4 linked regions of the Caenorhabditis elegans genome follow. The protein of the gene in region 4 interacts with the protein of the main gene of each other region in a pairwise test. Each region holds a gene or a part of one and is shown on either strand. Other genes may lie near its edges.

Region 1 (7,531 bases), on a different chromosome or scaffold from region 4:
TTCGGCAATTACGGAGTGATCCCCCTCTCACCACCACTTTGTATCTCCCCCCTCCTTTTGCTGATACACGTACACTCACTCTCACCCTAATTGCCCACCCCGCCGCCGTCTCCGAAGATGGAAGACCACCACCACCCCTATTGTTGTCTCTATTGTGTGTGCAAATTGAGAAGAACGTTCCGCCCTTAGATGGATGTGTGTGTGTGTATCTAATATGGCCAAGGTTATGAAATTGGGAGAAATGATAATTGGCGGTGCAGGAAACGGGACGATCACGACCGGACAGACCAGATGTCTGATTAGGAGACAGGTGGATCCAAGAATCTGACTTAGGATCCGGTGAGGCTATCTAGGACAGAAGCTTGGTGATAATGGAGATCCCAACGAATTCTTTGATATGCTAGAACAACCGGAAGTCTTTAGATCGAAGCTTAAGCCAAAGGAGACCTCCGATCCTTCCGATCCTTCCATCGCTAGGATCCCCTACAGCCTCTAGTAAGAACATTCACATCATCTGCGGATCCTTCTAAAATTTACCAGCGCGAAGATCTATCCGAAGGATCTTTCCACCGATATCCTGAGATCTGAATTTTCTGGGAAAATCTACAATTCTACAGAATCCTTTGATAAGATAATTCTGACCCTTATGCTGCTTGGATTTCTGCGCGATCGATTGTGGCGATCAACCACACTGGGATACTTAGGATCTTAAGGATCCTCACAGTACCCCCCCCCCCCCTCTTAGAAGCTCCTAAATGCCTAAGGATCCTTCCAAAAGCTCACCCAGATCCTTCCCACCTTAACAACTAATTCATTTTCCAATTTCCAGGTTCGCCGACCAATAGAAATGCGCAAAAACCACATCCAACAACGCTACCGCCGAAAGAACAAGGAAAAAGAGTCGTCGGCGGCAACACAGATCTTCAACCAACTCCTCACACAAATGCCGACGATGGCGACCGGCGGAGTGAGCACTGATGGAGCCATCAACACATTCAATTTACTCGAGCAAATCTCGCAATTCACGCAGGCTCAAGAGCTCATGAATAGCAGTGCCACATTTTAATTATCATTATTATTTTTTCCCCCTTCACATCCTTTTTATGCACAATACCTTTATGTAATTTTTCTTATTTATTGAAATTTGAAATTTGAAATTCTCCATAATGTATTATTGATTAATAAGCAATCCTTCATCATTCCATTACCCCTTCAGAAAAATACAGTATTAAATAATTTTCCGCCAATTTTCTAATAATAATTGTGCCCCATTTCCCCCAACTTCACCGCGTGTTTCCGACTGTGAGCTTTACCTCCTCCTCCGACAACTTATAATAATAGTTAGGCTCCGCCCCATTCTGCAGGAGGCCCCTCCCCCAATTCTCTGTGCATGGTTGTGTTATATTCACCTCCTCCCACCACTTTGTCATTTCACTTGAATCATCATTTTTGCATTTTCATATTTATTTTGAAAAAATCTCATCTCACTCTCTCTCTCTCTCCTTATCTCTTGTGGTTTTTGACGGATAAACGTATGTATCTCATTCTATCACTTTTAGCTTTTAACTTCGTCCTCTCGCTCTCTCGCACTCTCCCCTCGCTCCACAGTCTCTCTCCGTCTCTCTCTCTCTCTCGCTCTCCACTTCTTCTTCTTCTAAAACAACGTCACACGTGATTTACAGATGACGTCGTCGAAGGAGGAGATGCCGGATGAGATGGTGAGCCGGGAGGTGGAGGAGGAGATGGAGGATCGGGTTGAGGAGACGGCGACTACAGCAGCAGCGTGCACCGGATGCGCTCAGCTTCACAAGGATATTCGACAGGTGCATATTATTTTGTTTAGCAGTAGGCTCACGCGCCTGCCTACTCTCGACATTTGGCTCCAGCTTCTTGCCCAAGTTTGGCCTAAAAAATATTAACTTGGATAAGAAGCTGGCTAAACTTGGGCAAAAGTTGGGCAAGACTTTGGCAAAACTAAAATCTGGTCAGACTTCTACCCAAGTATAACTAAAAAAAAGAAAATTTTGGACCAAAGTTTGGTAAGAGTTGGGGGAAACTTTGGTGCAGCCTGAATCCAAGTTTTGCCCAAGTTTTGCCCAATTGCCAACTAGAGCCAAATGCCGATAGGCAGGCATACATGAAGTAATTCTCGGATTACCAGAAACATTAAATTATTTTTCATTTCATTGAGAATTTCTGAAATTCTAGGAATTTGAATCGCCGCGCTGAAAGCTCCGGTCTATTCGTTTTCTTACAGGATGTTTCAAAAATGATGTCGAAAATTGACGAAGTGTGCGGAAGGCTTGAAGCTCTTATCAGTGAAAAGGAAAAAGTCCTGCTTGAGCAAATGTCCGAGAGCGGAAGCGAGGAGAAGGTGAGATTTTTGACAACTTTTAGCGGCCATGTTGCAAAAGTTCTGCGGGAAGGAGCTGGTGGAACTTTAGAAATAAGCCAAAATGGGCTGAAACTGAGCTTATTTCGCAGCATTTTCCCGCCGCCTGACAATTTTCGAGAAAGAAACTGAATCTGTTTTAAAGTTATTTTCTCAGTTTTTCGCGATTCTGAGCCATTCCCAAGAAACTTGTTTATTTTTGCATCCACGTTGATCATAACTTCCTGCTGTGTCCCGTGGTGCCAGGCTGTCCCATCACGGTTTGATCTACAAAAAAATGCGGGATTTTCTTTGTTTCTTCAAGTAATGTGACGTCAGCACGTTCTTAACCGTGCTAAATCAGTTGAGAAGTCTGCGTCCGAATTCTCGCGATTCTCGTAGATCTACACGTAGATCAAACCGAGATGGGACACTCTGATACCACATGTCATAATTGTAATTTCTGGAAATCAAGAAGACCAAATCACGAAAATTTTAAATTTCAGTATCCCCCATCACCAACTGAAAGCCGTGCTTCTCCGTCATCAGTCGGAAAGTCGAATGGAGGGTGCCGCAAACGGAAACCCACCAAAGAATCTGTGAATCGACATTTGGAGAATGGAGGTAGTGACTCGCCTTTTGAGAAAATCACAAGGAATATTTCGACGCCGGTTTCCGCGAGCTCTCCGTTTCCCGATTTTCAGAATTTCAACGGGTTTGTGTGTAAGTTTCATTGACTTTAGAAAAATAAAGGTTCTTAGAGTGATAAAGCTTTTAATAGAACCACATAGACCTTGGAAAAGACCTGAAAGAGCTGCCATGCCTACCTGCGCAGGATATCCCAAGATCTTTGTACAAATCTTTGAAAACTTTTTAGTCGATCCCATGGCCAATCCACAAAATATGATGAACTTGCTAAACCTTGTGCAGCAACAACAACATCAAGCCGCTGCTCATCACCATGCTCAACAGCAGGCGAGAGAGCAGAAGCCCGTAAAAGCCGAAGAGTCAAAGCAGCAGGAACCGTCGGAGAACAGAAACCAATCGCCAAGTGCGTCTGTTGAGCAGACTCTGCTCGATCAGCTCTCTATGCAGTTCAACGGGGTTAGTAGCATAGTCTTCAGACCAGACTGCTAAACCAAGACCTAAACCAAGTCTAAATTCCAGAAATCACCATCACCAACAGTACACGCATCCACCGCCGCGGCGGCTGGTAGCTCGGAGGACGATACAAGTGCCAACTCGTCCATCTCGAAATGCTCCAATTGCTCCACAATAAAAACGACAGCGTGGCGAAGGGATTTGGAGGGGAAGCTTGTTTGTAACGCGTGTGGATTGTATTATAGGCTGCATAGGGTGAGTTGGCTGAAAATCTGAGGGTTACTGTAGGTACAGTGGTTACTGCTGGAAACTCTTACAGAGATTGAGCCCATAACTACTGTAGAGAAGTACATGACGCCTAGCTAGCACTCAAAAAACCAAAAAAGGAGCTTCAATAGTGTTGACCCAATTCAAAACACACAACCTTGACAATATATATATATCCGTCGTCGCGTTTCAAAAGATAATTAGAAGATTGCGCGTACGCTCGTCCTCCGATTACCTCTTAGAAACCCATAGGGGCTGCTGATGTTATGTACTACTTCTAGCTACTGGTCCACTACCACCACCACTACCCATCTCGAAAGGTCGTTTCCGACTACGACGACTAATTATCGATGAAAATTGAATGGGTTTTGAGTGAGTGAGGAGGATCTTGATGATGGTTTTTGTGGTCAAGAAAGAGAGAGAGAGAGAGAGAAAGAAGGAAAAAAACCAAAAGTGTGAGCGAGTTAACGAGTTAAGGGAAGTATTGAATGAATCTGGAGAAGGGATTTATAGCTTAGGTTTGGCTTATATTAGGCTTAGGCCTAGGCCTACATTTAGGCGTAGGCATAGGCTCAGGCTTAGGCTTTGGCTCGGCCTTAGGCCTAAGCTTAGGCTTAGGCATAGGCTTAGTCTTAAGCTCAGACTGAGACTTAGTCTTAGGTCTAGGATTTGTTTTAGGCTTAGGCTTAGGCTTATGCCCAGGCTTCAGCTTAAGCATCGGCTGAGGCTTAGACTTAGGCTTATGCTAAGGCTGAAACTTAGCCTTAGGCTTAGGCTTAGGCTTAAGCTTAGGCCCCCGAACTACTTTTTGATGTTACCGCTGGTTTTGAGAAACTACACGTCCGAAAAGTCTGGAACCTAAAACCTTGACAAATGACATTCGGATAACCGGATGTTCGGTTTGTGAGCCCTAACTGAACCAAATAACTCGCAGCATTAAAACGTTTAGGATTCATCTGTGGAGAGACCCAATTTCAGACCTCATTTTTCAATATTCTCCCCCCTGAACTCTACAAATTTTCAGACACATCGGCCGGTTCACATGCGAAAAGATTTTATCCAACAGCGATTCCGTAGAAGAATGAGGGAAGATGAAAATGTGAGCCGTTGTTTTGCTCAATTTTTTTCCAGCGAAAAAAAAACTCTTTGGAAAAAACTCTAAACTTTTCAGCCAGCAACCAGTCAAGCAGCCGTTTTCAGTCAACTTCTCGGCCTACCGAGCATGGCTAACGGTGGAGCCAACGCGCTGACCTTTCTCGAGCAAATTAATCAGTTGAATCAGTCACAGGAGCAGCGCAAGTCTCCCTGATTATTATATTTTATTATCTCGTGTGATATATCCCCCAATGTCCCCTCCCGATCAACTGTGAGCTTTATCAGTATTTCCGTTTTCACTTTTCCAACAAAAAATCCCACTGACCCCTGCGGTGGTCTCTGAAAAAACAAAGAATCTCAACATTTTTTTTTTTGCAATTTAAATTTTTATTGTATTCCCCCTTATTAGAAGTGCAGGTCTCTTTCACTTTGTCGCAATATCTGAACAGAATAATCCCAGCACCGAGTTTATTTGTGTGCATATCCATGTTCCTTTAATAAATATTATCATGCAGGAAGGAAACTTTTAAAAAGGTTTAAGCTAGTTTCAGATCAATGAAAGCTTTAAAAAAGGGGAAACTTTTGGGTCCCGCCACGAAAACCTACAGTAACCCGGAGAACTTCATGGCGGGACCCTGTAATTTACAAAGGAAAACATGACATTATTGTATCCAGATTGAAGCTCTCAGATTGATGAATTCAATGTTTAAAATTATATCCCACCACGAAATTCCCAGGGTTACTGTAGGCTTTCGTGGTGGCCCAAATTTTCTCAAATTTCAAAGAAGTATGGGAAGCTCATATTTAATTAACATCTCTCAATTGCATAAAAACCTTAAAATCTGAAATTTCGAAATTTGAAAAAAAATTTGGGTCTCAAAACGAAAATTCTGAAAATTTGTCCAAACCTCTGGATTTTCAATTTTTGGTATTTTTCCTAGATTCAGCTCGCCGAGAGCTTCAAAATAAGTATAATCATGGCTAGGTTTTGATAGTTTTGAAAATTTTTGGGTCCCGCCACGAAATCCCTCGGGTTACTTTCGTGACTTTCGTGGTGGGACCCAAATTTGTCATGATAAGACTTAAATTGAAGCTATTAGTGAGCTGATTTCAAATATATCTGTAAAAATGGACATTTTTGGGTCCCGCCACGAAAACCTACAGAAACCCGATGTTTTTTGAGTGTCACTGTTATGTCTGTTATTAGTTGGCCAAGTGTTTTAAAATAAGTATAATTATGTCTATGTTCAATCAATTTTCAAAAATTTTTGGTCCCGTCACGAGTTTTCGTTTCGGGACCCAATATTTTTGAAACCTTATTACAACTGATTAGATTTGAAAGTTAAAAGCAAGTATATTTAATAACTGTTATTTTAATAAACAAAAAAAATTAAATTTTTTTTTTAATTTCCGCAAATATTTGAAATTTTCACAGTTATTTTGTTATTCAGCGTATTTTAAAACTTTAATTTTATTAAAATTAGTATTAAAAAATCTTATAAAAATGTTTAAAAATCCAAAATTTGACAAATTCAAGGTCCCGCCATGAAAACTACCGTAACCCGGGGATTTTCGTGGTGGGCCCTGACTTTTTTAAAATTTTAACAACTTAATGAAACATTTGAGTTCATCAATCGGAGAGCTTCAATTTGAATACAACCATATAAGGGTCCCGCCGAGAAACTCAATGGGTTACTGTAGTTTTTCGTTGCGAGACCCAAGAATTTCGGAAACTAATGGAAATGGGTCATGATTATACTTATCGTTAAGCTCCAGGCGAGATGAGTGCAAATTCGGAAGAAAAATTTTGAAAGTTTTTGAAGAATTTATTTTGTTTTACTTTTTTTTCGGAATTTTTTAAGTTTCAAATAAATGTTTTTTCACTCGATTTTTTAATCAAGTTTATTCTAAATTTTCAAAGTTTTCAATAAAAATAAAAATTAATAAAAAAAAATTTCCCGTCCAGTCAGTGCTCCACGGAGCCCCCACTATTCTTCTGCTCAAGGACATACATTTCCGGTGTATTTCCCCCGCAGCCGCCCGTGCCTATTATTCGTTCACCGCATTCGCAATACTAGTTGGATACACAGCGTTGTAAAGACAATTCGAATACTAAAAAATTTTGCGAAAATCTGAGAATTTTTAAACGTCCCAGAGAATTGTTACGTTTTTTTTTTCCGGAGAATCGGAACTTTTCTTTGATTTTTCCGGTTTTTTCTTATAAAATTGCATTTTAAACGATTAATTTCCCCTTTTTACTTCCAGTTTTTGAAAAAAAATTGGCAAAAATATAAGAATTTTAAACTTTAAAACCCCCATGGGTCCTATAGGGCGTCTGTCGCAAAAAAACCATTTATCATATTTTTCTCATTTCCTTTCTCAGTGATTTCTCGAAAAACTATCTGAAGGAACTAATATTTCGAATAAAATTATATCCTCAACATGAACAACTGCGCTCCATTGCAAATCGACAGGTCTCGCACGGATTTTCTCGGGTTTTTATGCTGAAAATTGGGAAACTTGAGTGAAATGTAACGTTGTTTTTGAATTGCAACCCTAAATTTGTTTTTTAAATATTTTTCTCATTGTCCGACCAAAAATCGAAAATTCAGATTTGCACCCTCAAAATCTTTTTTTTGTTGGATTTTAAACAAAATTTTCTTCAAATTTTCTATTTTTAAATGATTATTTCCGATA
Region 2 (8,485 bases), on a different chromosome or scaffold from region 4:
TGTGTGTATGTGCGTGCGCGCACAATGTTTTATGAGCCCTTTAGGGTTTTTTCAAATTTACTATTAGTACGGCCAGGAGAATATATATAGGGTGGGCTGTAAATTCGGGTGATACCGCTAGGAAATCCGGTGGTTTTGTATGTGAAATGTTATAAAAATGCATTTTTGAGGACAAAAATTGCAAATTTCGGCTCTAAATCGTTCGAATTCCGCATTTTGGCATATTTTCCAGCGTTTTCTATCGCAAAAAGGACAATATTCAGCCGAAAAAGTGTGCTGATGCGTCAATTTTTCTGCTTAATTTCGAGAATTTCTTGATTTTCAGTAGCGATTTTTATTTTTTTTTTATCTACGAAAAATTGGGAAAATACTGATTTTTTTTGTAAATTTTCTCTTTAAAATCGGCGATTTAGAGCTTTTTTCAGCCGGACTTTGACATGCTATAGTAATTCTTCAATAAAAAATTGCTAATAATGATCACGTGGTGTCAGAGTGTCTCATTTTGGATTGATCTACGTTGATCTACAAAAATTCTTTTCGCATGGTGAAGAACGTCACATATTTGTGGGAAAAATATTCCCGCATTTTTTGTAGATCAAACCGTAATGGGACAGCCGAGCACTACGTGAATGATGAGACTTCCAAAAAATTTTTACGTTTTTTTCCACCACGGTCAAAAAACCACATTAATTGATCTACATATCTTTGGCAAGATTCCAAAAAGTAGGTTTTTTGGTAGATCAATTTGTGGGTTTTTTGTCGTATGTATTTCACTATTTTGAACCATTTACAAATTTTTTTTCCCATTTTTTTAAAGAATTTTTTTTGGAATTTTTGGAATTTTTTAATTTATAAAAAAAGATGTTTTAGAGACTTTCAAAACCGGGCAGCTAAATTATTTTGCAGGGATCATTACTAGCACTCTTTTATCGAAAAAAAAATACTATGGCATGTCAAAATCCCCGTTTTCTGACTTCCCTTGTTAGAAATTAAAATTTGGCTTTTTAGGATAGGGTAGTGAAATTAAAATTTTGCCGATTTTCAGCAAGATTTCAAAAAATGTAAATTTCCTAGATTCCCTTTCGCTCAGGGCTTTAAGCTGCGAAATTTTGGCAATTTTTGAGATTTCCGGTTACTTTAACGTATTAAAAAGGAAATTTGGCCGAATTTCAGCAAAACTCGTGGTTTTCGCTATTCGGAATTTCATCAGAAATATCCTGGTTTTGTTTCCTTGCGGTGCCTGAAAAATTCCACGATCTTTGGCAGTTTTTGAGATTTCCTGGATTTTTTTCGACCTCTCAAAATTGGAATTCTAGCTCGATTCGGCACGGATGCTTCCTGAAAATTCTGTAACCTTGGTGATTAGGTTTCCCTCAGACCGTCCTCCACCACTGAAGACCCATGAACTTATCAGAGGATCCGCCGCCAATGGGTTCCTATCCGTGTCGGAGCGATAATCATCGATAATCTTTCTTCTTCCTATCTTTCTACACTTTCATGGGGCTTGTCTTTCCTTGTCCCCCCTACTAAAAGATGCTAATCTATATCTAACAACCCCCTCTCTCTCTCTTCCCGATCGTGCGCAACTGATTCGGTGTTAACACGCGTGTGACGACGGCCCAAATAAAGGAAGGATGTTGAGGAAGAAGTTGAGGCAAAAAGAGAGAGACTTCGTTTCGAAGAGAAGATCGCAATCAACTCTTCTGATCAGCAGCCATCCAATCGAATCGATAAGAATGTTTGAAGATTACCATCTTCTCACTAACATCGTCACACACACACACACATACACTCACATTCTCCACTGCATTCCTTTGTTCGGACTCATCACGGACTCATCACCTCATCGTTTCTTGTGTTAGGACACCACTGTTTACGGGCTCTTAGACCGGTTATGGTGCATCGTCTCCTTGTCAGATGGACCACCAGGGTGTTACCGCCACACAGGTTCTCGGCAGGTGTTATCTGAGATTAGCTGAGAATTCAGCCTTGTCCTGGAAAATTGTTTGATTTTTTACCTGGCATATTAGCTCAGGGCTCGGTGAAAGCTTTTTCACAGATTTCTCCGCTCGATTCGACCAATTTTGAGCATTTATACCATGGGTGGCCGGCACTTGGCGTTTTGCCAATTTTTTTGTCGGTAAGTTGCCGGTTTGCCGAGTTGCCGGAAAACTTCAATTTCGGCAATTTGCCGATTTTCCGGAAGTTGCAATTTTTGCCAAAAAAATTCCGATTTGCCGTTTGCCGTACATAAGATTTGCCGGAAATCATAGAATTTGTTTACTTTTCAAAAGGATGCGTACACTTTTTGCCGATTAAAATTGGAATTCAGAATTTAAAAAAAAACGTGCAAATTCCCAATTTGCAGAAAATGTTCGGCAAATCGGCAAACCGGCACATTGTCGATTTGCCGGAAATTTCAATTCCGGCAGTTTGCCGATGTGCCGCCCATCCTTAATCTATACCGAAACTCAAATTTTCAAAAAAAAAATTTTTTTTTTAAATTGATAAAAACTATTGTAGCAAATCAAAAAAATGTTTAAAAAAACATGGCAAAGATTCCAATTTTGTTTTTGGAAATTTTGTAATAAGGTGTTTTAGAGACTTTCAAAACGCCATCACTTTGCTGTACCTGAACCGGGGCAGCTGAATTTTTCGGAGGGATCATTATTAGCACTTTTTTATCGAAAAATTACAACGGTTTTCCGGCAAAATCTGTTTTTTTCCAGCTTTTTTATGCAAAAAAAAAGACACCAATTTTGAAAAATTGATATATTTCGAGTTTCCTTGACACTTGGCACAGTTCCAAACAACTTCCGTTATCGACAAGCTAAAATTTGGCACATCTACAATTATCGATTAGGTTTAGTGTCGGGGTGATACTACGTGCATAATTTGTCGTACAACAACACAACAAATCGTCTCCCCTCTTCCCCCCCCCCCCCCCCCCTATCCACCTAATTTCCACGTTTGTCCGGCTGGGGGAAAAGGGGCGGAGACGGGCGGTGAGTAGCGTTCTTCTCCACACAATATCCCGCCCATTTTCTTCGCGTTGATCAGTGTCATTTTATGGTTATTTACTTGTTGGTCCATTCTTGTCAGTAAGGAGGGCCTCCCTTTTTAAAGTTTTGACCTATATTTTTGATTATTTTTTGTCTAGTTTCAGCTTGAACTAAGCCGATTTTAGGCCGAAATAGTCCGCATTTTTCTGATTCATAGCTTAAATTTAATCTCCAAATTGCTAATTTTGAGTAGATCCCTATGTTTATGCTACGTATTTTTAGCCCCAAATAGTTTTTAAATAGGCTTTTATTGATAAAAATTGACCCTTTAAGAATTAAAACTAAGCTATTTATCGGCCTGAATTCTCCATACAAAACGGCTATTTTAGGCCGTTTAGGCCGTCAATTTCTGGTACCTCCATAGTAGTACATTTTAAGGTTCAAATAAAATTGTCCCCCGAAAAATCAGTTTTTTAGTCCAAAATCACCCATTTTAAGCCCTACCCCAACTCTGTTCAGGTCAAAATTTTATCCTCGTACTCTCTTGATATTTTACTTCCCCTGCACATTTTCCCTCTAAATTTTCCATTTTTTGCAGTGTCTCCACACAGTCTATATGTCGATCAGCATAATGACGGAAACGAGACCAGAATCCGCCGAGCAACAACACCACGAAGTGCTCCAGAGGCCGTCAGATGAGCCGTGTAGTGGTTGCAAACAGTTACAGAAGGATGTTGCAAAGGTAATTTAGAGCTCAAAAAACCATTAACAATTAAAAAATTTCCAGACAATCAGCATGGTTATGGAGCGAATGGACAAACTTCAGTATCGGCTCGACGAGCTGCTCAAAGAGAACAATGAGCTGAAAAGCTCATCGGTCTCATCGGGAAAAGCCTCACCATCACCGGCAGAGTCGAGGAGCTCTCCGAAGCTTGTCGAGACAGTAGTCGCTCCAGTATCAGGAGCCCGGAAGCGGAAGCCCAAGGAGCGGAGCCCACCGGCAGCTGCGAGTCCACTTCCAGACTTTTCGAATTTGATGAACGGATTCATGTTTGATCCTCTGAATATGTCAAATCCAAATGGAATGATGCAATTATTATCAATGGTTCAACAGCAGCAGCAGCAGCAACAACACCACCAGCACATTGAGAATCAACAATCCGTGAGCCCACCACAATCGAAATCCGTGAAAATTGAAGATCCAATGGATCAGGATGTGAAACAGGAAGAGTCGGAGCGATCCGATATCCCGACGGCTACAGAGGCGCAGAACCTTTTGGATGCACTAACAGCACAGTTTAGCAGCAACGGACAGGCGGTAAGTGTTGAGGAAGGGCCAAAGGGGGGGGGGGGGGGGGGGCGAACAAAGGAAAGATATATCACCCCGGGAGGCGGCGTTCGCTTTTGAAAATCTACCGCTGCGCGATTTTTTTGCACTTAGGATTTCTAGGATCCTGATTGGATTTAGGATCTTTCGAGAACTTTGGGGAGAAGTTCCCGAAGCTCTATGATCGGAGTTCGCAGGGTTCCTTGAGGAGCCTACTTCTGGGGAAACCCTTGTGAAGGTCCGGAAGCTCCCAAAGTTGCTCAGGATCATTGCGCACCTTGACAAGCTTTAACTGCTGCCCTGACTTCCAGCGGACTTCCAGCGAGCCCTTGAAAGTCGCCAGGATCCATTGAAACCTCCCAGAGCTCCTTAGCTGCTTTAGGGTTTTTCAGGATCTTTGAGGAGCTTCTAAGATCCACCCTGAGTTCTTTAGGATCTCTGCGATCTTTCAGCAGCTCCTTCAATCAATCAATAAATACATTCACTCCTAATCACATATCAGTTCTTCCAGACCTCCACCACATCTCCACCATCATCATCATCCCAAGTACAAGCGGTCATCGAAGCAGTCGCCACACCATCATCCCAAAGCCAAGACAGTTCAATGTTTGAGAAAACCGAGACGAGTGGTGATCCGAACGCGGCGCGATGCTCCAACTGCCGAACCGACAAGACAACCGCGTGGCGACGTGACGCCGAGGGGAAGCTTGTCTGCAATCCGTGTGGGCTCTACTATCGATTGCACAAGGTTTGTTCGTCGTGTTATTCATTAGCAGAAAGATATTAGCAGCGACAGTAGAGTAGCAGCAGTAACAGCTTCTAATGGGGGGAATAAGAGAGTGTTTGTTATCTGATGCGAATAGAAGGAAACAACCTAGTTAAGATAGCGGCAAAATGAGGGGAAAATAGGAGTGAAGGAGAGGGGAGATTGAAATATGAGATTAGCTTCTTCTTCTTCTCCATCTTCTTCGTCTTCTTACTTTTTATGTGTTAGTTGTGCGACTGATATTGATCCGAAGACGATTTCTAGGTCAGTTTGGCTAGATTAGGATTTTCTGATCCTTAAAGGCTCTAAGATCTAAGCTCCACAAGCTATCCTAGATCTTATCAGAAGGTTCTCGGGTCCTGCCGATCCTTGAAGGCTGAAGATTCGCTCTATCCAGGTTCTAAAGCTGCTCTAATCGTTCTGGAGAATGTTCGGATCCTGGTGATCCTAGATAGGCCAGAGAGCCTGTGATAACCCTCTTAGCCTGGCAATCCTGGGCTTCAGGTGAAGATTTCAGATCATCTGATCGTCCCATATGCGATCCTGATCCTTATCAGAAGCTCTGAGTTACTTGGTTCTTGTTGAAGATCCCCGCATTATCAAGAATTTCGAACTCTACCACCCCAGTAGGTCAAAAGTACAGTACCTCCACCTTCTCCACCTCATCATCATCATCATCTCCATCATCATCGATACAGTATCTACCTTTCTTTCAATTTCCATCACTTCAACCATTATGTGGTCGTCGTCATCGTCGTCGTCTCCACCTCGATAATTAGCGTATCGGCTGCGGCGGCGGCGGCGGCGGCGTGCGTGCCGCAGAAGGAGACGAGTCAATGATTACCTGTAACTCGAATAGACTTTCCACCTCTTCCTTTTCTTATTCATTTTAGGAGAAGAAACGACGACGACGACGTCTTATTGTTCACCACCGGCACCGACAATTAGGGGGAGATGAAACTAGTGCACGCGTGCGCGCGCAAACAATCCAGCCTCAACGTCGTCATCATCATCACCAATGACTTTTTGGTTCCGCACGCCAATCCATATCGAAACTTTGGCGGCGGGGGTAGTTGTAGGGAGGATCCTGAGGATTCTGAGGATCTTAAGAAGCACCAGAGCTTCACTGTTTCCTGGAATAGGTCGATGATTCCCGAGGTGGAACATCAGAGAATAACCTAGCAAGGATATCCCAACAATCTTGAGGCGATCGCTCAAGATTCTGATGATCTGTAGAAGTTTCATTGGTTCCAGTGATTCGAGGATCCTCAAGATTCCGGTGTAAGGTGTAAGATCAGCTGATCCATACCCAAGAAGACCTTCCATTAGTTCCACTGGATCAAAAATTCGGCAATTACGGAGTGATCCCCCTCTCACCACCACTTTGTATCTCCCCCCTCCTTTTGCTGATACACGTACACTCACTCTCACCCTAATTGCCCACCCCGCCGCCGTCTCCGAAGATGGAAGACCACCACCACCCCTATTGTTGTCTCTATTGTGTGTGCAAATTGAGAAGAACGTTCCGCCCTTAGATGGATGTGTGTGTGTGTATCTAATATGGCCAAGGTTATGAAATTGGGAGAAATGATAATTGGCGGTGCAGGAAACGGGACGATCACGACCGGACAGACCAGATGTCTGATTAGGAGACAGGTGGATCCAAGAATCTGACTTAGGATCCGGTGAGGCTATCTAGGACAGAAGCTTGGTGATAATGGAGATCCCAACGAATTCTTTGATATGCTAGAACAACCGGAAGTCTTTAGATCGAAGCTTAAGCCAAAGGAGACCTCCGATCCTTCCGATCCTTCCATCGCTAGGATCCCCTACAGCCTCTAGTAAGAACATTCACATCATCTGCGGATCCTTCTAAAATTTACCAGCGCGAAGATCTATCCGAAGGATCTTTCCACCGATATCCTGAGATCTGAATTTTCTGGGAAAATCTACAATTCTACAGAATCCTTTGATAAGATAATTCTGACCCTTATGCTGCTTGGATTTCTGCGCGATCGATTGTGGCGATCAACCACACTGGGATACTTAGGATCTTAAGGATCCTCACAGTACCCCCCCCCCCCCTCTTAGAAGCTCCTAAATGCCTAAGGATCCTTCCAAAAGCTCACCCAGATCCTTCCCACCTTAACAACTAATTCATTTTCCAATTTCCAGGTTCGCCGACCAATAGAAATGCGCAAAAACCACATCCAACAACGCTACCGCCGAAAGAACAAGGAAAAAGAGTCGTCGGCGGCAACACAGATCTTCAACCAACTCCTCACACAAATGCCGACGATGGCGACCGGCGGAGTGAGCACTGATGGAGCCATCAACACATTCAATTTACTCGAGCAAATCTCGCAATTCACGCAGGCTCAAGAGCTCATGAATAGCAGTGCCACATTTTAATTATCATTATTATTTTTTCCCCCTTCACATCCTTTTTATGCACAATACCTTTATGTAATTTTTCTTATTTATTGAAATTTGAAATTTGAAATTCTCCATAATGTATTATTGATTAATAAGCAATCCTTCATCATTCCATTACCCCTTCAGAAAAATACAGTATTAAATAATTTTCCGCCAATTTTCTAATAATAATTGTGCCCCATTTCCCCCAACTTCACCGCGTGTTTCCGACTGTGAGCTTTACCTCCTCCTCCGACAACTTATAATAATAGTTAGGCTCCGCCCCATTCTGCAGGAGGCCCCTCCCCCAATTCTCTGTGCATGGTTGTGTTATATTCACCTCCTCCCACCACTTTGTCATTTCACTTGAATCATCATTTTTGCATTTTCATATTTATTTTGAAAAAATCTCATCTCACTCTCTCTCTCTCTCCTTATCTCTTGTGGTTTTTGACGGATAAACGTATGTATCTCATTCTATCACTTTTAGCTTTTAACTTCGTCCTCTCGCTCTCTCGCACTCTCCCCTCGCTCCACAGTCTCTCTCCGTCTCTCTCTCTCTCTCGCTCTCCACTTCTTCTTCTTCTAAAACAACGTCACACGTGATTTACAGATGACGTCGTCGAAGGAGGAGATGCCGGATGAGATGGTGAGCCGGGAGGTGGAGGAGGAGATGGAGGATCGGGTTGAGGAGACGGCGACTACAGCAGCAGCGTGCACCGGATGCGCTCAGCTTCACAAGGATATTCGACAGGTGCATATTATTTTGTTTAGCAGTAGGCTCACGCGCCTGCCTACTCTCGACATTTGGCTCCAGCTTCTTGCCCAAGTTTGGCCTAAAAAATATTAACTTGGATAAGAAGCTGGCTAAACTTGGGCAAAAGTTGGGCAAGACTTTGGCAAAACTAAAATCTGGTCAGACTTCTACCCAAGTATAACTAAAAAAAAGAAAATTTTGGACCAAAGTTTGGTAAG
Region 3 (6,249 bases), on a different chromosome or scaffold from region 4:
CAAAACTATCTGAAAACACCGAATTTCATAATGAAACTTTTTGAAAACTTCTCAAAAAATAGTTATGACAGCTCAAAAAATGACCTAAAATTTGTTAAAATTTGAAATTTGACCGACTTGTAAAGCGGCTGGAAACAATTTTTTTGAAATCACCGTCAAATTTTGAGTATACATGTCAATTAACTTGCGTTTTCGACTACTACTTTACAATTAGGTATTTTAAAGTCGATGGACGGCGAGATTTGGTTTAAAAAAATTGTTAAAAATCTCGTCGTCCATAGACTTTAAAATACTTAAATCAAGTTGAAAACGCAAGATAATTAACTGGTATACCTACAATTAGACGGTGATTTCAAAAAAGTTCGTTTCCAGCCGCTTTACAAGTCGGTCAAATTTCAAATTTTAACTTATTTTAGGCCATTTTTTAAGCTGTCATAACTTTTTTTAGAAGTTTTATTAAGAAATTCGGTGTTTTCAGACAATTTTGAGTCTAATAAAGCAATAACAAAAATTCGACTACACCACCTTTAAAGGAAAACTATAAAAAAATTCGATGAAAAATCCGCAGATTCGAATGTTTGAAATAACTATTCTTTAAAGTGCTTTAAGAATTAAAGGCGCACACCGTTTCGCATATAACAAAAATTTGTCGTTTCGAGACCCTATTTTTGGAGCAAAAACCGCGAAATTTCAATGATTTGTTATAAAAAAGTCCGAACCAATCGTCTCCCAAGTGTTATCCGTATCTAAAATCGCACATATTTGCTGGAGAACTTCTCGTTTCATGAATGGAATCATTACAACTTCTGATACTCCAAGAGAATCATCCATTGTCTCTGAAAAATTCCAGATTATTTTTAAAAATATGTATTTAAACAATTTTAACAAGTTTAATTTTAAAAGAGTAGCTAATCAAAAATTATTTTGCTTTATTAAACTAAAAATGGTCCCAAAATATCGAATTTCATAACAAGACTGTTCAAAAATGCTTTTAAAAGGTTTATTTCCGCTAAAATCTCCAATTTCACCAACTTTTCCGTTTCACAGCGATCGGAAATTGATTTTTATCTGACTATTGCCCTATTTTGCTCATTTTCCTATTTATCTTCTGTTTTTTTGTTGATTTAATAGTTTGGATTTAAAAATTAAAATTTTAGATGATAAATTAACGAAACAACGCAAGAAAACCAATAAAAATATTCAAAATAGAAGAAAAATCAAATAAAAATCAATTTCTAACCGTTGTGTAACGAAAAATTGGGAAAATTCTATTTTTTCTTCGAAATTAATTTTTTTCTCGTTATAAAATTCGGGGTATTCGGGCCTTTTTGAGTATAATAAAGCAATAAAACTCCTCCTTTGATTGGTTTTTTGAAAAAATGTATAGAATGTTTTGAATGTGTTTTTATTATATTTTTAAAAATAAAAATATTTTAAATTAAAATTAAAATTTAATATTTAATTAAACTTATAAAACGAACAATTCTGAAATTCCAATAAATCCAAAAGCGGAGGAAAGCGGAGTGTCGTCACTTCCTCTCGTCGTCTCATCCCTCTCCCTCTCTCTACATTTTCTCTCTCTTCCATTCCATTACTTGGCACATTCTTCTGGAGATGTCACCTAGAAAACAGATGTTTTTGCAACACTGGAAGAGTAGATCAATAATAAAAGAATGGATATACAGGTGAGCGCGCACAGATTTGATCTCCACACCATAAACGATTTACAACCAATGAGGTCAAATATTGTAGAAGGCATTCGATCTACCTTATTAATGTCATTTCTTTCTTCCCTTTTTTTCAGCTTTTTTTTTGCTTTTTTTCCATAATTTGGAGGTCTGGCAATAACAATTTTACTTTCAAGCTGGAGTACCGAAATCTGAGACTTTGTTTTTTACACCCAAAATAGCCCAAAAATACCGAATTGGTAATGGGACGTTTTGAAAATTTCTCAAAAAAAAGTTATGGCAGTTGAAGGTTCTGGAAAAATGGCACATTTTCAGCTAAAATCAAAATTTTGGTCAACTTCTCGGTGTCACAGCGTCTGGAACATCATTTTTATGTAATTATCACTATTTAAAGACTATTGCGGTCTTCTATTAAGCGTTTATTCGTTGATTTAAACATATTTTCGGTAAGTGGGACACAAATAAAAGTTACATTTTTGTGCCCCACTGACAATAAATGTACTTAAATCAACGAATAAACGCCTAATAAAAAACAAAAATATTCTTTAAAAAGTGATAATTGAATCAAAATTAAGTTCCAGACGCTGCGACACCGAGAATTAGACAAAAATGTTGATTTTAGCTGAAAATTAGCCTTCTTTCCAGAACTTTGAGCCACCATAACTTTTTTTTTTGAGAAATTTCCAAAACGTCTCATTACACAATTCGGTAGTTTTGAGTCATTTTGGGTCTAAAAAAGCAAGGGTTCAGATTTCGGTACCCCATCTTTAAAATATTCAAATGGATCCAAATGCTGAAATCCCACAAAATTAAGTTTTAGAAATACAGTTAATTTCTGACGAATTTTTCAACTTTCTGCCGAAATTGATAAAAAAAACCAAAGTGCGGCACAGAAAAATGGGCGTGGTTAAGTGGCTAAAGTGCGGAAATTCAAATTATTCAAAAAAGGATATTATGAAGAAGCGAAAATTCGTCACAATCAACTTTTTTGTTAAACTCTGTAAATTTATATTGTCTGCTTTTGAATCCATTCGCGTATTTTAATTTATTCATTTATTACTTTTTCAGATGTTCACCACGCTCAACTCTACTGTTCCAACGGAACCCGTGGTGGGACCTGTGGAACCTACAGTACCTACAGTACCCGCCACAAAAGAGACTGGCCCTTCAAGCTCTGCAGAGTGCTCTACCCAACCCGCCGTTGCCGAGCAAGAAGACAACTCCCTTTTGGCACAACTTTTAAAAGGAAAAATCACGTCTGATGATGCAAAGTTGCAACCACCACGTGGACCTTTCGAATACGCACCGATGCTCTCCGAGGAGGCACAATTTGCGATTAAGCTGGCGGGTCTTCTCAACCCGAATCCGGTCACTGAACAGGACCCGAGCACTTTCAAGCCGCCTCCGAAAATGAGCAATAATGTTCGAAAAAACATTAATTTGACTCCGGTTATTGAGAATGCAGTTCCGAGTGGATTTGAACTGGAAAGTCCGAAAGATCAGGCATTTGATGTGGTTCATGGAAGACTATCTATGGGACAGAATCAGACATGTTATTTTGTACGTTTACGGTAGAAGTTCAATATTAAAATTTAAATAATCTTCCAGGTCACAGTCGAGGAAATGAGACGAAGATTGCAAAGTCCGGAGAAGCTCAATAGTTCGAGTATCGCATGCAATCTTAAAAGGCCAAAACTGAAGAATGGAGGTGAACTGATGCGCGCTCAACTGAGAGATCATGGAATCAAGGTTCAACTGAATGCGAAACAGAAGGCTTTTCCCAACAAAGTGATCGCTTTGGTCGAAGCGGAAGCTGTTCATTTGGGACTTGATCTTGGAACAGCTGTACGAGATGATTATCCAGTTCAAGATATAATTCAAGAAGTTGCTCATGAAGCATTGGCTGACGAGGATGCAGATCTGGATGCGTTGATGAATGATAAGGATTTCACGTAAGTTGACTATATTCCAATTTCTCAATTCTGACGCCAAATTCCAAATATTTCAGAGAATGTATGTCAGCACTTGAATCAGTTTTCACATCAGTCGTCCCTCCGATCACTGGAATCGAGCCAAAACCGTCGAACAACATGCGACTGAACAATGGAATGGAGACCTTTTCATCAGCTTCACATGGACTTGGAATCGTGTCTCAACGGGTTTGGCTCCCCCAATTGACTGCAATCGGAAATGGAGTCGCATCTGAACTTCGACGCTTGACAGAGACGCCAACTGAATCAAAGCCAGAGGAATTGAAAGCATAAATTCATATTTTCATATTCTGATATTTAAAACAATCTGATTACCAAGGTCTCACTTATTTTCCATGATCTCTATGATGTTTTCACTTAATTTCAATGAAACTTTTTATTTATTTAAATCCTCATACGATGTTCCTTAGTACTAGGAAATGCATCATTAAAAATGATTTTCATATTGCTAGTACGTCTTATAGAGTAGCTTCGAATTCACTTTATACATTTGAATAATATTGAATTTTATAGGTTTTACACATCATTTTGATCATTTTGATGTGTAAAACTTTGAAAAATTCATTATTATTCAAATGTATAAAATGAATTCGAAGCTTCTCTATAAGACGTACTAGCAACATGAAAATAATTTTTAATGATACATATTCCAAAACTGAAAATTAGGAATTTCTTTACCCCCGTTCCTCACGTGAAAACATTTATTGACCCTGTGGCAATGTGCGCTTGCGCGTCTGCGTCTCCAGAAGGCGTAATCTCTCGTGTTCAAACACTTTCTCAACTGACCATTTGTTTGCGTCGTTGCCGACGGCTTAACCATATGTTGCCTTTTCCCCCTTACATTTATACAAGACAGTAATATTAATAAATCGGTTTGATCTACAAAAATGCGGGAATTTTTTGGTCAAAAAATGTGACGTCAGCACGTTCTTAACCATTCGAAATCAGTTGACAGCTCTGCATCTAAATTCCCGCATTTTTTGTAGATCTAAGTAAATCCAGCTGAAATGAGCCATCTGACACCACGTGATTTACTGAAACATTATTTTCCAGTCAAAAATGGGATTAGCTCAGTCCCACTCGCGGACGCCCTCTCGTGATCCACTTCCAAATGACCATCAAGTAATGGATGTGTATGAAGAGTCTGGTCCAAGACGGGGAAGAAAACGAAAAGCGGCAAAAGGAAGTGAGATTGAGATGAAGAAAGTGGCAAAACTGAACACATGTGCATATGTATATCAGAAATTGTTTTTACAGGTTAGAATAAATTGAATTTTTAGTGCAAAATGGGTAACTAAAATATGGAGTTGACTAAATTAATGCAATAAAATTCCAAAATGAATGTTTTGTTTCAACAAATTTGAGATTTCTTCGTCACGAATCTGGTAAATTGTGTTTTTTTTTAATTTTGTAACATGGAAAAAGAAAAAACTGATTATTTAGTTCGAAAACCTACATTTTAGTATTTTTTCACTAATTATGCCAACTATATACCGTATTTCCTCTATTAGTCTTGCATGCAAGAGAAAATTGCCAAAATTGTTACTATTGTGCTGAAATTTTATTCTCAGAATTTTTAAAATTACAGGCAAAACAGGGCCACTCGTAATTTTGAACGTCTACCAAAAATTGATTTTTACTATGATTTTGGAATTTTTAAAATTCCGGAAATATCGTAAATTTTTCCAAAAGTCCAAATTTTTTGAAAATTTGACATTTTATCAAAGATTTTTTCGGCGTTTTTCAATTGAGACATATCTTTTTTTCGCATTTTGAGTATGCAATTGATGAAAAATTTCAGAATTATCACAAATTTCAGTACAAAACAGTTTAATACTGAGAAATTAATTTTTTAAAAACTTAATTTTCACAGGTATGTAGTTTCAGAAATTTTCACTCAATCAGAGGTGCGCGACAATCGAGTTTTCGGCAATTTCGGAAATTGCCAAACATTTTGAAACCCAGCAATTGTCGGAATTGCCGGAAATTTCCAAAACCGGCAATTGCCGAAACTGCCTATTGCCGAAAATTTTGAAAACCGGCAATTATCGGAATTGCCGGAAATTTCCAAAACCGGCAATTGGCGAAATTGCCGGAAATTTTGAAGACCGGCACTTGCCGAAAATTTCCAAAACCGGCAATTGCCGTAAATTTTGAAAACCGGCAAATGTCAGAATTGCCGGAAATTTCCGATTGCCGCCAAAAAACTATGACCATAATTATTTTGAAATTCCTTTGTATAATTAGTAGGGAAAGAAAACAATTCAATTGAAAGAAATTTGGAAATTTTCTCAAATTTCGTTATTTTTTCAGGGAGAAAATTCGGACATTGTCCTGGCTGCGTGTGGCAGGGAATGGAGGGTTCACAAGCTTTATCTAAAGCAGACCAAATTTTTTGAAGTGAGTTTTTTGAATTGTTTCAAATTAATTTCGAATGCTTTTAGTCAATGTTCGATGGTTTATGGACAGAGTCGAATAGTGGAAGAGTTCAGATGGAAATAACAGATCCGAATATTGACGCAGATGGTCTAAACTCGGTGCTCGGAAGTCTATATCACAATGAGATTGAG
Region 4 (9,670 bases):
TGTCGTCGCTCTTTTTTGTGCCGGTGCGGCTACTTGGGTGGTGGTTTGCAGTTTGCAGTTTGTGCAGTTTGCGTTGTCCTAGAGCGGTGTGCATTGATTTTTGAGCAGGGTGTCCCAGAGCCCGGGCGGCTTGAAGACACGCCCACTGGCGCTCTACTCAATTTTTCAGTGGAATATAGAAAGGGATGATGTTTCGCATTCTCACATACTCACAATTGAAATTTCATGAAAGCCAAAGCTGTCTAGAAGTTTTCCATGGATTTTCTGTATGGAAGCTCTTGGTCAGGAAGATGAGAGTAGTAAAACCATATTTTCAAACTATTCTGAAACTGATTTATTGTTTTCAAGGCATAGTAAGATGGTCGCTATTATAAAACTATTTCTGTTATAACTTTTATATTGATAGATCCTATTACCATATTTTGGAGCAATGATCCATCTGATTTACGCATCACTTGTGAGTAGATATGTGACTGATTTATTTCGAACAAGGAAGTTTCAATGACTTGACCTCGTTTCGCTGCGGGTTTCGACCATTATGAATAGGCTTTTTTTTTCTAGAAGTTGGTCATCTCTCATTCTTCTCTTCTACCGACTTATCTCGCATACTGATAGGTTGCCATCAACTCTAGATGGACGCATAGATCCTAGCGTAATTTTGAGGTTATTCTATTCTTTTTAGAAGACAATTTCGGTTGTGATGATCTCAAAGTAGCGGTGTCCTGGTTTAGAAATTTACCTTCCGATGATCCGATAATCAGTAGTAGTCATCGCACCTAGCTCTATTTTTTGGAAACTAAAAGTTTTGTTAGAGACTGTATATGTAGGAACACTGTTTTGTTAGATTTTTAGTCTTTCTGAACGCGAAACATAGAGTTTCGAACCTAGAAGTGTTCAATCAACACCGAATTTAGATTCAGCTCCCGACGTGGGGAGAGTGGTTGCGATGTTGGCAGAGCAAGTAGGACATGATGATTAGACGTTTGAGCATATTCAGTTGGACAGCTGCTGCCGTCTTGGCACCACCTATATTGAATCCCAGTTGGGGTCAGGTTCGGGCCGTGTGAGATGGAAAGAGAGAGAGAAAGTAGGGAGAGAGTGAGTGTGTGCGTTTTGTGTGTGTGAGGGTGTGTGTGTGTGTGTGTGGCCGAGTGTCATTGTTCGAGTAGAATGAAGCGAAACAAGAAATAATCGATTGACTTATGTGTCCTCCTCCGCCTTCCTTCATCTTCTTCGTCCGTCCGTCCCCGTCCGTCCACGCACCCTCAGCCGCTCCTAGTGGTTTTCAATCTTCATCCTAGTCTTCATCAGCATCATCGTCGCCGTCATCTCAATTTGTTTCTCACGCGCTTAATGTTTGTATTTGTGAATGTGCCAAGTACTACCACCGTACTTGTCGGTGCAAGACACCACCATTTTAGTGTGTTCTAGAACATTTTGTAAGAGAAAAGAAGTCCACAGCTCTTCCAAATCTATTCCAAATATATTACTTTCAGGACTGAATTTTCGCTAACATGGTTTTTGGTGGATTACCGTTTCATGAATTCCAGACTATCCTAGGTTAAATTTACGGAGACTTCACCTAGTTGCGTATCTCCAACCTAATTATGATCCTTGAACCAATAATTTTGTATTGTTTCTCTAGCCTGCAGTACAAAATTAGTTAAACCTCATAGTTTCGAAATTGGTATTTTCACAAAATTCGCCACATTGTATTTTTCTTTAACTATAAAAATTCTACGATATTACCATCTGCATTGCACACAAAAAACATTCTTTTCCAATACTGTGACTTTAAAGGGGGTGACCATTTATTCGAAATGGTCCCGCCACGCGCTCTAGCGTGGCGAGACCATTTCACAAAAATGCGCTCTCCTTTAAAGTCGCAGAAGTGTAGAAATTTTTTTAAATTTTTTTTCGAAAAAAAAACACTGTTTGTGTCGTTTCTTGTTGACCTCTGCTTCACTAAACGATTTTTGAATAAAGATTTGTTCTTTAGTAGATTCTGACCACAAAGAACCCAGAAACCTGTGAATATTTCCAAATATCAGTATCTCAAAATTGCTCTAATCTTAAATTGTTTTGTATGGAGTTTCGCGAATCTTTCCAGTACGGCCTAAGCAAAACTAGCAAAACTAGAAAAAGAGTTCAACTCTCCACCACGGGAAATATGAATAACTCTTGGAAAAATTGACACGAAAGTAGTGTGGTAAAGTAAAGTAGAAAGTAGAAAGTAGGTGGCTTTTGATGAGTTGTAGATGATCACGTTCATCAAACATTTCAAAAGAAAAAAAAACTTAATTTTTCCCATGATCATCTCAACCTCCTTCCCTTTTTTTCCCTAATAACATTTTGCTTTTTTCTCTCACTATCTGCGTATCTTCTTTCTATCATCATTCCCCATTTTCTCTGCGCTCTCTTCTCTCTCTTATTGCTTTTATATTGGGTGAAATGATGTGACGTCACACGGACACCACCTCGTTTTGGATATTCAAATCTTTTGTTTTACTAATCTGCGTCTCTTTCTTACACTACACTATAAGTGCCGGTGACATTATAATTTCAACTTTTATTCCAGAACAAACTCAACACTAACTGATTGCTGTTGTTCTCTTGGACTCCAATGCAAGCTCTCGACGAACGGTGTTAATCGATTTTTATTTTGCTCCGCTCCACTTGAGTTTTGACTGGATTCCATTTATTTAGTATTTATATACAATAAATATGGCACAGGTAGGTGTTTCTATTTACAGTTATATTAAACGAACTCAAAAAATATTTCGTGTTTGGAATATTCAAATTTAATATTTATTATGTCAAGTAATTTTCATTAAAAATGGGGTAGCGAGTTCGATCAATCTAAATACTAAAATTAAAACTTACTGAATTCCGAATTCAGTTCACAAAAAATAACAAATTTTGGAGAAGACTGAAGGTTTACCCTAATAAATGAGAAAATAAGCATTTTCAGTCTATTTTTGGACAGTTTTAGTGTAATTTTAAAATTTTTGCTACCTCAAATTTAGTTGAAAATTAGAATCTTAATTGAAAAAATTCGAATAACTTTTTAAACCCAATGTTTTTAAAGGTTCAACAAGTTCCATCGTCACCTATGAATGGGATTCCTGAAAAGAATGGAAATGGTTTGAGTATCGAAGAATCAGCTTCAACAGCCGTCGCTGCACTTGCACATATTCAAAATGGAGCTGTTCTATTTCATGGAACACCTACAAAAGATTTGAATGGAGCTTCAACATCAATCGATACCGATGATTTACAACTTTCACCGAGTGATCTACGGCGGCGGAGTACACGAGCAAGTGCTCTGAAGGCTCAGGAAAAGATTAAACTGAAAGATGATATTGTACAAGGACCACAAAAACGGGCGAATGATGATGATGATATGGAAGATGAAGAGTTGGGAGATGAAATTAATGAGCAATCAGCTCCAAAAAAAAGAAGACTCGAAAATGGAAAAGAGTTTGATCAAACATGTTTCCGATTTGGACTTCGTGCGAATAATGAAGGTGAAGTATACGCAATGACTGATGAGAGTGAAAATTCTTCAATTCATGAAAGTGAAATGGAAGTTGTGAGGTATCATTATGAAAAAATGAAGAATAAGGAACCGGATGAGGAACAATTAAGAGAACGTTTAAATATGAGAAGAGAAGCTGAAAATCAGTTACGAGAAGAAGAGGCAAAATTGCTAGTTTTGAGAAAAATGAAGGATAGTCAGACAAGAGCTATCACCAAGGTTCGTTTTCTTCACTATTCGAGAAATAAAAACGCCAATTTTAGATAAAAGTGTAACTTCACAAATAGTTTAAAAAAATTTTCATCATAAAACTCGCAAAAATTCCGGATTTTTGCCCTGAGAGAATTGTAGTTAAATTTTCGGCGAGTTATGATCTGAGAATAGGAAATGCTTCAAGTTTTATGCTGATAAAATGTTTCATTCAAAAAACACACATTTTCAAAAAAACCGACAAAAGTGAAGGAAACTCTTTGTGAAACTGAAATCTGTATGAAATAAAAATAAATGATCAAAACTTTTTTGTATTAATATTTTTTCCAGCTGGCCGCCGAAACTAAAGCTGCTGATCTTGCTGAAGCGACATCTGCAGCATATAAACCAGCGGTTGCTACAAATGGAAAATCTGTTACTAATGGAAAGAATTCGATGATTGAGTCAAATAACAAAACAATGAATGGACTTAAGAATCTTTCAATTCCACAACAACTCGAATTACTTCAAAAACTATCATCTCAATCACCAGCTGCCAAACAAGCATACATTATGGCAAAGAAGAATCCAGCACAAACGACTCAACTATTCCAACAACTGATTACAATCAATAATCAAAATCTTCAAAAGCAAAAAGAGCTTTCTGCTGCTGAAACAAATGCTTCTGCATCTGCATCACCTGCAGTACAACAATCTCAACAAGCACAGCAACCACAACAGGCTCAAATCACACAATCAAAACTTCTAAATCAACAGACACCTGCACAAAGGATACAAGCAGCTCGGCTGGCTTTCAGAGCTCAAGCTGATAAGCAATTGACAACAATTCCAACACAAAAAAGTCAACCTCATGATATCACTTTCCTACCGAATCCGAATGCTTCTGCATTCCTGGCATTGCATGGATTGGATCTAGTGGTTCAGCATGTTCTCAAAGATAGATCTAATGAGACGTGAGTTTTTTTTCAAACTATGATTTGTTAAAACACATTGTGATCACGGGTGTCGTCGAAAAAATGTGGAGACTTTTTCAGAAATATTCGGAAAAATTGTTGAGAAAATTAACAGACAATTTCAACAATTTGTTTATTTTGATTTACTTTTTTATAAAACAGGAAAAATTACCAACGTTTGAAAATTTTTAGATTTTTGGTTTTGATCAAAAGCGAAAAACGAACGCTTTACGGTTTCAGAAAAACTGAATATTTCAGAATCATTTCCGGAATTACTTTTTCTGTTCCGGCTCGTATCACATTTCATACAAACAGTCAAAATTTCAAAAATTGTTGAGTTTTAGGTTTTTGAGCCAAACTGAAAATCGAAACACGAACATTTATAGAGTTTTCGGTTTCCTGTAAACGAAAAAAAATCAGACCGGACTTTAATTTCTCAAAAAATGTTTGATAATTGCATTAGAAACTAAAAACCTCGAAAGTTTTAATGTTCAAAATTGAAATGTTTTCATTAAAAAAAAAATTATATTCAGACCATATGCCGGACCATCATACGAATGTGAAGAATGTAAAACCGAATGTGCTCACACTTGGAAAGCTATTGGAAGTACACAAGATGATCTTCATCTTTATTGTGAAAATTGTGTACGATCAGCACAAAAAAGGAAAAATCGAACAGATCAGACAGCTTTATTGAAGAGAGCTTTCCAGAAGATTACGGCACAAGAAAAGGTATTTATTTCGAAATTTAACTGATTATTAAACGAATTAAAAGTTATTACAGGAGTTCGAAAAGAAAATTGCCGAAGGACAATTGGAGCAGTACGCAGAAGCAAAAGCTGCAGCACCTGCTACATCTCGTTAGTTTTATTATTTGAAAGTTAAAATAGTAATATAAAAGTATAAAAATTGTGTCCGCTATCTGAAAAAAAAACTAAAATGATCTAAATCATATTAAAATTATGAAAAGAATTAGTTTTGAAAACTATAGATCTTTGCACTAACTACAAAAAATAGGGTTTTTGTATATCATAATTTAAAAAAAAACCAATTATATAATTTTAAATAAAATTTCCAAACAAATTTTTTCCGACAATTCTTCAATTTGAAAAATTTTAATACAAATATTTTCCTTTTTTTACAAATATTTTGCTAATCTATAGTTTTTTCTTCTTTCAAAAAAATTTCGTCATTTTTTCCCGATTTTTCGACTTTCAAAAACGCAATATTTCTGTTTTTCGGTTTTTAAAATTTTCTCTGAAAAACTCTAAAAAATCGAAATTTTTTAGACGACGATCGACGCCTAAAGTCATTGTCACATTAATAGTTGAACAGTTTAATTCCAAAAAGTTGGGACTAATACACACGTATTTTTAAAAATCGTTGTATTGCTGTTAAAAACTTTTTAAAAAAATTCAAATTCCCCGATGCGAATAAAATTAAATTCAGAAACAATACCAACATCATCAACAGCAACTGTTTCATCAATTCCACTTGTACCACGATTACCACAAATTCCATCATCAACTGGATCAAGTACACCAACACAAGCAGTCAAGACGTCAACACCGGTTAGATTTTTATTTTCAAACCAAATAATTCAAAATTGAGGAATATACCTGGGAAAATATTTTTTACAGTTAAAAAAGTTCAAAATACAACATTTCCAAAAAGACATATATTTTATGAGCTTTTTATTAAAAATTTATAACATTTCGCAATTTTCTAAATTCGTGTATAATTTTTTCATGCAAACAGAAGAAAATAGGCATTGAAGAAGCTTGATGTTACTTTAAAAAATTAGTATTTCTAGACATTTTAAGTAATATCAAAAGTTAGGAAAAAACAATTAATTTTGAATTTTCAGATACACTCGACACCAAAATCATCAAGTTCAAGTGCAAAGAAGACTGCAGCACAATTGCAACAACAAAGTATGCAAGGAATGAATCAATTATTCAGTACAGCAATGTTGAGAAATAATCCTCAAATGCAACAAATGGTATCACTTTTTTTTGAAATTTCAAAAAATAAATCCTTTTCCAGTTGCAAATGTACCAAGCTTTAGCTATGGGAGGAGGGGCGGCAAATATGGCAAATAATCAAATGGCCATGCTATTCCAAGCACAAGCAATGCAAGCTGCTCAGGCTCAAGTCGCACGAGCTCAGGCGGCAAAAGCTCAGGCTGCACAAGCTCAGGCCGCACAGGCTCAAGCCCAGGCACAGGCAAATAGAGAGGCGAATCAACAATCAATGCTAATTCGTAAGTGTTTTTTGGGCGATTTTGTGAAAGATTTAGAACATTAAAAATTGTTTATTACGAGATTAGAAAGAAAAAATTGTGATTTTCCATTGTTTTCTGGTTGGAATATTAACATTTCAATCTACAAAATTGATCGAAAAGAAATAAGTTTTAAACATTTCAGAAGCTCTCATGAGTAATGGTCAAGTGAATGTTCAAGCTCTCCAACAACTTCAAAAACTGACACCTGAACAACAGAAAGCGCTGATCGAAGTTGTCAAACGTCAAACGAGGAAGTGAAAATTTCAAACTTTTTTCGGTTTCTTCAATTGATATTTTATTTCTACTTTTCCTCTATCCACTACCGACAACATAACAAAACTTGTTTCTGATTGAAATCCGGGTTGTTTTTGTATGATTTTTTGTATTCAAATATGATTTCTCGGCATCTCTCTCCCTCTCTTTCTCCTACACTTTTTAAAAATTTCCTTTTTGCAAAATTCAGACGAAGTTTCGAGAAAATCTGAAAATCCACGTGCTTTTCCATCACGGTCATTCTCCATTTTCCTGTAATCATATTCCCATCGCTTTGATTATTTTTATTTCCACAATCGCCACCCCCACCCCCACTATTATCGATTAGTATCCCTAACTTGTAACTTCCAAAAAATTGACGGTTTGTACCAAATATGCTTCTTCTCTTATAGTCTTGATTTTGCTCACTTTTTTTGATATTTCAATTTCAGTGATGTTCAAAGTTCAGATTATATTTGAAGAAGTATACATCTTTAATTCCAAAATTAGAGGGTGTTGAGTTTTTTTTCTAAAACTATCGAACGGATGTGGTTTTATAATTTCTAAATTAAATAACTATTTCGCTTTCTTTTTCCCTTAATTTCCCCCTCTCTCGTTCATATTTAACTTATTCTTAAACCGTTTTTTCTTTTCCTCTATCCACTACCGACAACATAACAAAACTTGTTTCTGATTGAAATCCGGGTTGTTTTTGTATGATTTTTTGTATTCAAATATGATTTCTCGGCATCTCTCTCCCTCTCTTTCTCCTACACTTTTTAAAAATTTCCTTTTTGCAAAATTCAGACGAAGTTTCGAGAAAATCTGAAAATCCACGTGCTTTTCCATCACGGTCATTCTCCATTTTCCTGTAATCATATTCCCATCGCTTTGATTATTTTTATTTCCACAATCGCCACCCCCACCCCCACTATTATCGATTAGTATCCCTAACTTGTAACTTCCAAAAAATTGACGGTTTGTACCAAATATGCTTCTTCTCTTATAGTCTTGATTTTGCTCACTTTTTTTGATATTTCAATTTCAGTGATGTTCAAAGTTCAGATTATATTTGAAGAAGTATACATCTTTAATTCCAAAATTAGAGGGTGTTGAGTTTTTTTTCTAAAACTATCGAACGGATGTGGTTTTATAATTTCTAAATTAAATAACTATTTCGCTTTCTTTTTCCCTTAATTTCCCCCTCTCTCGTTCATATTTAACTTATTCTTAAACCGTTTTTCTCTCCTTTTTCTGAATGTTCTTAAGACTTAGCGTCGTCATCTATTCATGTGATTTTCTTCTGTTTTATGAAAATTGCCCTTCTCTCGTGCAAAACGTTCCATTTTTGATAATCAGAAATGTTTTCAACAATTAAAGGTTTCGTTGAATTTTTATTGGTTTGAAACGGCAATTGGAGAATTAAAACATTAATACCCGAAAGGAACAAATGCAACCCGAAAAATCAACAATAAGCATTTAAAATTGAAAAATCAGAAATCTAGACTAAAGTATAATGAACTGTTAGAAAAACTTTGTTATTATAACGATCAATATTAAAAATATGTTTATACATATAGTGTAATTGAGTGAACATACTCTCTCCATATGGACTTTGATCCAAAAGTTTCAATTTTTCGGGAAACGCTAATCGTACGGCGTCTCTGAAAAATTATATAGGATTACGGAGGTTATTTCAGTAATGTAACATTTTCGAACAAAAAATAATGTTTTCCAACGAGACTATAAATAAATATATAATGGAGGTTTTAAATTGTAGTACGGTCAATGAGAACTTTTCTTTAAAATATCTGAAATAGTCTAAATTCAGTAGGGACAAGATCCAACTGACACAATCAGAAAAATTTAAATTTTCCGTAAAATGAGGTCAATATGTTCCTCTCACGTTTGAACCAATCAGACGGGGTAGGCGGAGTTCGATTACTCTAATTGGTTTAAAAGTGTGCGGGTAGAATAGCTGATTGGTCTTGGTATTTTCCGAAAATCGAAAAAATCACTGTATTTCAAACGGAAAACCCGATAACCCGAAAAGCTTGAAACCCTGAGCAAATGTTTTGAGAAAATTTATTAAAATACTTTTTAAGCAAACCCGAACCCAGGCTTGTTTGGAAGGCACGAAATCTACGAAATTATATTTTCCAAAAGTTACCTCAATTTATGAACAGATTTTCGATCACATGTTCCATTATCATGTCGAAAAATGAAGTTTGCTCTTTGAAATGATTCCATTTTTGTTTCATCTGTTTGATCAGAATCCACTTGAATCATAACTGGCGTTGTTTCACGAGTACCACGAAAATAGTCTGATGATGAGATGATCCTTCAAATTTGTGATATTTTAATTCATCTGATTTAACTTTTAAAACTATTTCAAGCCCTATCAAAACTAAAATATGAAATTTTATTTTAGAT

The links.
Region 1: the proteins of dcp-66 (region 4) and elt-6 interact in a two-hybrid assay, tested with the Caenorhabditis elegans proteins (one large-scale study listed by BioGRID).
Region 2: the proteins of dcp-66 (region 4) and egl-18 interact in a two-hybrid assay, tested with the Caenorhabditis elegans proteins (one large-scale study listed by BioGRID).
Region 3: the proteins of dcp-66 (region 4) and aptf-2 interact in a two-hybrid assay, tested with the Caenorhabditis elegans proteins (one large-scale study listed by BioGRID).

The regions. Positions count from the first base shown.
Region 1 is NC_003282.8:1,916,295-1,923,825, forward strand, and holds elt-6 (Transcription factor elt-6), read left to right. Parts: upstream 1-1,682; coding exon 1,683-1,823; intron 1,824-2,257; coding exon 2,258-2,374; intron 2,375-2,877; coding exon 2,878-3,094; intron 3,095-3,248; coding exon 3,249-3,475; intron 3,476-3,538; coding exon 3,539-3,727; intron 3,728-4,763; coding exon 4,764-4,838; intron 4,839-4,910; coding exon 4,911-5,048; 3' UTR 5,049-5,350; downstream 5,351-7,531. Other genes in the region: Putative transcription factor egl-18, read left to right, coding at 830-1,066.
Region 2 is NC_003282.8:1,909,854-1,918,338, forward strand, and holds egl-18 (Putative transcription factor egl-18), read left to right. Parts: upstream 1-3,592; 5' UTR 3,593-3,618; coding exon 3,619-3,744; intron 3,745-3,789; coding exon 3,790-4,320; intron 4,321-4,831; coding exon 4,832-5,077; intron 5,078-7,270; coding exon 7,271-7,507; 3' UTR 7,508-7,985; downstream 7,986-8,485. Other genes in the region: Transcription factor elt-6, read left to right, coding at 8,124-8,264. UniProt on the Caenorhabditis elegans protein: Probable transcription factor. Involved in embryonic development and in vulval development in larvae, acting redundantly, at least in part, with elt-6.
Region 3 is NC_003282.8:13,411,379-13,417,627, reverse strand, and holds aptf-2 (Transcription factor aptf-2), read left to right. Parts: upstream 1-1,576; 5' UTR 1,577-1,673; coding exon 1,674-1,685; intron 1,686-2,756; coding exon 2,757-3,248; intron 3,249-3,296; coding exon 3,297-3,640; intron 3,641-3,696; coding exon 3,697-3,952; 3' UTR 3,953-4,068; downstream 4,069-6,249. Other genes in the region: Pelle-like serine/threonine-protein kinase pik-1, read right to left, coding at 720-831; gcl-1 (BTB domain-containing protein), read left to right, coding at 4,739-4,936, 5,993-6,079, 6,124-6,249. UniProt on the Caenorhabditis elegans protein: Sequence-specific DNA-binding protein that interacts with enhancer elements to regulate transcription of selected genes. Required for neuroblast and epidermal morphogenesis, perhaps acting in cooperation with transcription factor aptf-4.
Region 4 is NC_003279.8:7,535,066-7,544,735, reverse strand, and holds dcp-66 (Transcription factor dcp-66), read left to right. Parts: upstream 1-2,576; 5' UTR 2,577-2,724; coding exon 2,725-2,733; intron 2,734-3,088; coding exon 3,089-3,757; intron 3,758-4,078; coding exon 4,079-4,701; intron 4,702-5,234; coding exon 5,235-5,433; intron 5,434-5,476; coding exon 5,477-5,561; intron 5,562-6,150; coding exon 6,151-6,272; intron 6,273-6,568; coding exon 6,569-6,703; intron 6,704-6,747; coding exon 6,748-6,964; intron 6,965-7,127; coding exon 7,128-7,243; 3' UTR 7,244-8,632; downstream 8,633-9,670. Other genes in the region: C26C6.4 (Nucleotide-diphospho-sugar transferase domain-containing protein), read right to left, coding at 8,739-8,901, 9,408-9,578. UniProt on the Caenorhabditis elegans protein: Transcription factor which binds to the 5'-CCATACATTA-3' motif found in the promoter region of pgp-12 and activates its expression in the excretory cell.